2 linked regions of the Macaca mulatta genome follow. The protein of the gene in region 1 interacts with the protein of each later gene in a biochemical or structural test. Links are inferred from orthologs where the notes say so. Each region holds a gene or a part of one and is shown on either strand. Other genes may lie near its edges.

Region 1 (3,745 bases):
CACAGCTGTACTCTTGTTCCTATTAAGAACAAAAATTTTCCAAAAGTTACTTGTTAGAAATTTAATGATTTGGCACCCTCACTTTCTTAAAAGGCAACATCTAAACAACTCAGAATCAAGATTTTCTGATTACTGACTCGTGTAATTTCTTAACAAACTCCACTCAAAAAAAATAAATGGCTATTAAATGCACTGCCCAGGGAACAAGCGCCTCCTCCTCCTCATCCTCCAGGGATAAAGTAAGAGAACATTAGAGTATGCCACAGAAATGATGACGGCGCAAGCAGGTCTAACTATTTTCTAAAAGAAAACGAGAGAATATGATATTAGGCATTTTCAACATTCCAACATTTCTTCTCTCCTTTGGTGTTTATAAACCTAACCTGGATACATTTCTTCTAAGATAGCTTTCAAACCCACTTAACAAAAATCAAGCATCGGGCCGGGCGCGGTGGCTCAAGCCTGTAATCCCAGCACTTTGGAAGGCCGAGACAGGCGGATCACAAGGTCAGGAGATCGAGACCATCCTGGCTAACCTGGTGAAACCCCGTCTCTACTAAAAAATACAAAAAAAAAAAAAAAAAAAAAAAAAAAAAAACTAGCCGGGCGAGGTGGTGGGCGCCTGTAGTCCCAGCTACTCGGGAAGCTGAGGCAGGAGAATGGCGTAAATCTGGGTGGCAGAGCTTGCAGTGAGCTGAGATCCGGCCACAGCACTCCAGCCTGGGCGACAGAGCGAGACTCCGCCTCAAAAACAAAACAAAACAAAACAAAACCAACCATCCTAGAAGGAAGCAAATTTTAAAAGAGGTTCATGGAAATTAATGCAAATAGACAACTGGCAGTAAACAATAAATTTAACCAGTGAGTTTTAGACTTGTGGTAAACAACTATCCAAATACTAAAATCTCTTTAAAACATGCACCAGTAGATATGTTTCTAGAAAAAGTTCTGTTATGAAGTAGGCTTAAATTATATTAACTTATCTTGACGGAGGAGGATCATTGAGGCCAGGAGTTCCAGACCAGCCTGGGCAAGACTGCCCCCACACCCACACACAAAAATAAAAAAATTAGCCAGGCGTGGTGGGACAGATCTGTAGTCCTTCCTAGCCACTTAGGAGACTAAGTGGATTGCTTGAGCCCAGGAGTCCCAGGTTACAGTGAGCTATATGGCACCACTGCACTCCAGCCTGGGGAAAAGAGGAAGACCCTGTCTGTAAAAATAAACAACATTCTATGATATAACTATCATGCCTGTGTACAGCAGTCGCTACAATCAGAAACTGATACTCACTGGAATTCCAAGTTGTTCAACATCCAAATCCATCAACTTCATTTCATAGTCTGAAACTTTCTCCTGGTCTACCAAAAAAAAGCAAATGCTGTTGAGAAACACTGGCACAGAGTTTTGATCTTCTGTAGCTTCATAACTCAGTAAAAAGGTACGACTTACTGGGTGCTTCAAATACTAGCGCCAAGGTATCCGCATTATCTTCAGCCCTTAGTGTAATGATATCTTCATTGCCGGCGCATTTTAGTATTTTGGACATACTAGAAGACAGGAGACACATGGTTTAAAATCAACACCATCTACTGAAGGTCTGTATTTCTAATGCAGTTAGAAGGGGTTACCACTCTCACCCATAGGCCGTCTCAGAACTGGTGGAGGGTAATTGCACTGCTGGAGGATGCGAATATTAATGCAGACATTTTGGGATGCATCTGGCAGTATTTATACTAAAATACCACCAGCAGTTTCCCTTCTGGATAGAAACAATCTCCTGCCACTAAGTAGGATGACAGGCTGACACTTTTCTCGCAAGGGCACATTATAAAGCATTTAAAGTCAATCGCGACTGAGCCGGGAGGATCGCCTGAGCCCAGAAGTTGGAGACCAGCCCGGGCCAACACATCGAGACCGTCTCGGAAACAAAAAAGCCACAACTAAAGCGTCCATTCAAGGCCAACAGGATTTAGTGAGCAAAAGCTCTGGAGCAGTGTTCCTGGCACTGCAGAAAAACCAGTCATTTTCCCGCCACCACCCGCTTTGTGACTTTGGCGCGAAAAAGCAGGTTCGCGCAGCAGCCAGCGCGGGCTTTTCCGAACCGCGCGCTCAGCTGGGCCCCACCCCCCTGCATGGCAGGCCAATGAGAAGGTGCGGATGGTCCACGCCAGCCAATGAGGGCTCGGCTCGGAAGCGATCCCGCCAAACCCCGGAGGTGGGGGTGGGCCGGGGCCGGCTTCTCGACGCCGCGAGGCTCACCTGGTGAGGTTCACGCCCATAGCCAGGTTGCGGTCGCAGCGGTAGGTGTCGAAGCCCTCAGACCGCAGGGTGAGCTGCACCAAGGAGACGTGGGACGAGTCCATGCTCTGCAGATTTACGCCGCTGGAGCTAATATCCCAGCAGGCCTCGTTGATGAGGTCCTTGAGGGCCTCCAACACCTTCTTCAGGATGGAGCCCTGGACCAGGCGCGCCTCGAACATGGTGGCGGAGTGGCAGCAACGCGGCTACAGGCAGGCGGGAAGGAGGAAAGTCTAGCCGGTTTCCGCTTCAGGAGCCTCAGAGCGAGCGGGCGAACGTCGTGACGAGAAGCTGAGACCTAGAAACAGAACTACCAGTCTGCTACGCCTGCAACCGTTTAATGCCGCCGCGTCCGCCAGCGCGCGCTCTTACCCTGCGCCGCGTTGCGACGTCACCACGCTGCCCGGCCCACGGCCTGGGCGGGTTAGAATTTAGGGCCAATCGTGCCGATGCTCCCCGCGAGGCCCGCCCCCTAGGACATACATTGGAGGAAGCGGGTGCAGGGCGGGGCAGCGTCCCGCAGGTCTCCCCGCCTCTTCGCCTGACTCCTGAACCTGACCACTGAACAAGTCCGGGCATATGTGGGGATCCGGCCCAGGCCCCGGTTCGTCAAGCCCCAGCTTTATGGTGCCTCCTCAGCCTCCAGCTCCGTGGGTAGAAAGTTTCCAGCCACGAAAGTGAAAGTGAAAAGCAAATCCAGCCTACCGGGAGGAAAAGCCTCCTTGTAGCCTGAAGAGTACAGCTGCTGCAAATATGCACTTTATTTTTCAATTACAAAAGTGATGCGCTCCTAAGTGTCACACCATAAAGAGTTATGTTAAACTTAGCTCCCTCTCACCTCTTAACATTCCACTGCCAGCTCTTATAATCACTCAATCGTTCCTTGTATAAAGCTTTTAAAGCTTTTTTGAAAGTTCGAATACACTTTTTTTTTTCAAAATGCACTCATTCCGTAAACACTTCGAAAAAGTACTTAATAAAGTACATTTAATTTTATGCCACGTACATCTTTTTTATATCAGTACCTCTTTAAAAGATAGCATCACATGTATGTAACTTATCAATCTCCTGTTAATTACAAACACCTTTGAGCACTTAGGCAATTTTGGTGCTATCAACTCCTTGAAGTAATACAGCTGAGTCAAAGAGCGTACACATTTAATTTTTTTTCTTTTCTTTCTTTCTTTTTTTTTGAGATGGAGTCCTGCTCTGTCATTCAGGCTGGAGTGCAGTGGCGCGATCTCGGCTCACTGCAACCTCCGCCTCCCAGGTTCAAATGATTCTCCTGCCTCAGCCTCCCGAGTAGCTGGGATTACAGGCGCCTACCACCGCGCCCGACTAATTTTTTTTTTTTTTTTTTTTAGTAGAGACGGGGTTTCACCATGTTGGCCAGGCTGGTCTCGAACTCCCGACCTCAGGTGATCACCCGCCTCAGCCTCCCAAA
Region 2 (3,745 bases), on another chromosome or scaffold:
AGATCCGGCCACTGCACTCCAGCCCGGGCGACAGAGCGAGACTCCGTCTCAAAAAAAAAAAAAAAAAAAAATATATATATATATATATATATATATAAATAATAAAAACCAAACTAATAGAAGCCAACTGTTTCTGACTCCAAACCCTGTGGCATACATACACGTATTGTAACATTTCCTCCAAGTGGTGGTCACTCTCTTTTTTGAAGTTAACATCACTTTAAAAATGTACAGCACAAGTATTTTCTCCTAAATGGCCATTTCTCACAGCCCACACACGTTGTTTTGTGGGTAAGTAAGCTTGAATTGTATTAGGACCCTCAAACTGCAACATACGTCAGTCCCAAGAGCAGAGCATTCGGGTCTCAAGCAAACTACTTTCAGGAAACCAAAGTGCCCTTGTTAAAATGCAAAGTAAGTGGTAGAAATTATCTTTGCGCAAAATAGCCTAAAAATATCACATTCAAAAACATGGGAGAAGTAGGGGTGCGAGAATTTCCTCAGAAAATGTCCAAGACACAAACGAAAGTTAGCGAGAGATGTTAAAGGATATAAACATAAGGGTACTAGAGGGGCTGGAGCTCGGTCAGTTCGGGTCAGAGGAGTGAGCCAGCAAGAAAACGTTTAGTGCAAGGGAGACCATAAAGAATGAAGCTAGTGTTGGGGGCGGGATCTACACGTGCGCCTCGGGAAGGCGAGGGGATGTCGGGTTTGGGGAACGAAAATGGGCGAGGGTCGTGTTGCGAACAAGAGTGCAAAGAGAGGACAGGGGGAGGAGAGGCTGTGGGAAGCAGCGGCGAGATGAGAAGCAGCTAGGGACCGTAGTGTCCCAGGCAAAGGACAGGAACGGCGAGTAGAGAAGGCGGGGGTTTGGGAGAGGCGCGGAGGGCCGCGAAGGGAAGGTCCCGAAGAGTTGGAAAAGGAGGTCCAGGGGCCGCGTGGGCGGGAGACTACCCCAGTTACAGGCGGCACCGGAGCTGCTGGGGCTGGGAGAGAGTGTCGGGATCGCCCCAGGACGCCAGGATCCCAGCTACCTTGAGGGCTTCCAGCCGGTACCGCTGGGTGGAGTTGGGGTCCATCATGACCGTCACCGCTTTCACCAGCTGCTCGCACAGCGCGTTTACTTGATCCATCGCCATGCCTAGCGCCACGCCTAGCGCCACGCGCCGAGAGCGCACACCACTGCAGTCCCGGGACCACGAGGCACGACAGCTCCCTCGGCGAGACCACCCGTTGGTACCGGGCCGCTGCTGGCAAGCGGGGGTGGGAAACTGGAGGAGGAGCGTGAGCACCAGCTCGCGCTGGGAAGATGCCGGCGCTGCGCACGCGCCCGGCCCGCCACTGCGCACGCGCCCGCGGAAGTGGCGGCTCCCGGGTGAAGGTTGAGCCTGGATGGGCGGGTCGGGAAGCGGAAGGGCCGCGGTGCGCAGCCGCGTCAACGGCCCTTCATAGCGCGCGCGCTGTCTGACCTCAGTCTGGCAGCTTCGTAGCTGGGCGTGACGCTCTCGGCTTTTTGCTGCTGGGGGCGGTTGCCCGGGCAAGCTGCTTTACGACCCCTTCTCGGTTTCTCCGTCGTCACAGCGAATAAATCTCTCTCGAAACTCACTGGCCTGCTCCCAGAAAGGCGAAAAGATATTCAAGAGCCCTTCCGTTTTCCTTCCAGTGGACCCCGAGCCCAGCATTTGCGGCACCCGCTGCTGGCAGTTTTGCCAGGTGTTTGTTACCTTGGTAAGAAAATTTAGAACCGTTCGCTGTCAATGTGTTCAGACTTTCTATGTTGCCTTGGCTATTGGTTTTATAATGTAGCAGTGACTGGGCCAACGTTACGTGAAATATAAATCATGCTAACAGAGATAAGGCCCTGGTACTGTCCTCTAAGATTTTTCTTGTAGAAAAAAGTATGTTTTTCTCTGTAGTTCTTAAACCTCTGTCTTGGAATTATTTTCCTGAATGTATTATTACCTGGTGGGCACTAAACTTGTTTTGTGCGGATTGGGGTAACTCGAGATGTTAAAGGGAATAATTGCAATTAGTGAAGGTTTGTGCAGTTTGATAGTTGGCCAAGTGCTATACGTAAGATTTCAAAGTAGTGTAATCCTTATCCAAAAGCATGGCTTGGGCAGAAAGTCTGCTTCGTTTTCCATCTTTATAAAGCTCTTGGCCGGTCGCGGTGGCTAACGCCTGTAATCCCAGCACTTTGGGAGGCCGAGGCGGGCAGATCACCCAGGTCAGGAGTTCGAGACCAGCCTGGAGTTTCGCCAACATGATGAAACGCCATCTCTATTAAAAATACAAAAATTATTTTTGCATTTTTAGTATTTTTATACAGGCGTGGCGTCGCGCGCCTGTAACCCCAGCTACTCGGGAGGTTGAGATGGGAGAATCGCTTCAACCCGGGAGGCGGAGGTTTCAGTGAGACGAGATGGAGCCATTGCACTCCAGCCCGGGCGACAGAGCGAAACTCCGTCTCAAAAATAAATAAATAAAGCTCTTGCTTTCTCGAGTAAATACATAAACGGAAAACCTCAAAAGCTTTATTATCTGTTAAAGTCTGCATGTCTGTTTTTGTGATTGTGTGCTTAGTAAATGGTTTGCTGAACTTAAATCACCGCTTCCTATTCCTGCTCCACTTCTGGTATTTGGACCTAATATGGTGCTTAGCCCGTGTTTTTTTTGTGACAATACTATTCGTTGGCTCAATCTGTTCCAGTACTACAGAAAAGCCCCTTCAAAGTAAAGGGATTTCTGGCATGTTATGGTTTTAACTGGTAAATGTTTAAAGTATCACATTCTGCCTGTTTTAGGCGAGTGGTCGATTGGAATTTATAAGGAATTAATGCTTTGACTACTGTGATTTTAATTATTTTTCTTTCCACTCACCCTCCTGCTTTGCAGTTGTAAGACGTTTTTTTTCAAGGTAGTTGTTAGTTTTTGAAATACTTTTTTTAGAATACAGTTGGGTGCTCACTCAACTGTATAACCTGTGTTTCTCGTATTTAAATCATGGATTGCTGGTGTTTCGATTGTCTTATGTAGGTCTTGGCTCCCAAACTGCTGCATATTGGAATTACCTGGAGAGCTTTTAAAAATCTCCGTCCGGTCGCGGTGGCTCACGCCTGTAATCCCAGCACTTTGGGGGGCAGAGTCGGGCGGATCACTAGGTCAGGAGATAGAGACCATCCTGATCGAGACCATTTCACTTAACACGGTGAAACCCTGTCTCTACTAAAAATACAAAAAATTAGCCGGGCGTGGTGGCACGCGCATGTAGTCCCCGCTACTGGGGAGGCTGAGGCAGAGGAATCGCTTGAATCTGGGAGGTGGAGGTTGCAGTGAGCTGAGATCTCGCCACTGCACTCCAGCCTGGGTGACAGACCGAGACTATGTCTAGGAAAAAAAAAAAAACAAAACAAAAATCCCCATGCCAGGCTGAGCGCAGTGGCTCATGCCTGTAATCCCGGCACTTTGGGAGGCCGAGGTGGGTGGATCTTCTGAGGTCAGGAGTTCGAGACCAGCCTGGCCAACATTGTGAAACCCGGTCTCTACTCAAAATACAAAAATTAACCGGGCGTGGTGGCATGCGCCTGTAGTCTCAGCTTCTTGGGAAACTGAGGCATGAGAATCACTTGAACCCGGGAGACAGAGGTTGCAGTGAGCCGAGACTGTGCCATTGCACTCCCACCTGTGCAACAAGAGCAAAACTCTATCTCAGAAACAACAACAAAAGAAAAAAAAAAAAACCCAT

The links.
Region 2: the proteins of PCNA (region 1) and POLH form a complex in vitro, tested with the Homo sapiens proteins (7 studies listed by BioGRID). The link is inferred for Macaca mulatta from reciprocal best matches to the Homo sapiens genes PCNA and POLH.

Annotation. Positions count from the first base shown.
Region 1 is NC_133415.1:78,833,757-78,837,501, reverse strand, and holds the start of PCNA (proliferating cell nuclear antigen), read right to left. Parts: upstream 2,676-3,745; 5' UTR 2,484-2,675; coding exon 2,263-2,483; intron 1,551-2,262; coding exon 1,453-1,550; intron 1,362-1,452; coding exon 1,294-1,361; intron 20-1,293; coding exon 1-19. UniProt on the Homo sapiens protein: Auxiliary protein of DNA polymerase delta and epsilon, is involved in the control of eukaryotic DNA replication by increasing the polymerase's processibility during elongation of the leading strand.
Region 2 is NC_133409.1:138,541,897-138,545,641, reverse strand, and holds the start of POLH (DNA polymerase eta), read left to right. Parts: upstream 1-1,472; 5' UTR 1,473-1,728; intron 1,729-3,745. Other genes in the region: XPO5 (exportin-5), read right to left, coding at 1,035-1,139. UniProt on the Homo sapiens protein: DNA polymerase specifically involved in the DNA repair by translesion synthesis (TLS). Due to low processivity on both damaged and normal DNA, cooperates with the heterotetrameric (REV3L, REV7, POLD2 and POLD3) POLZ complex for complete bypass of DNA lesions.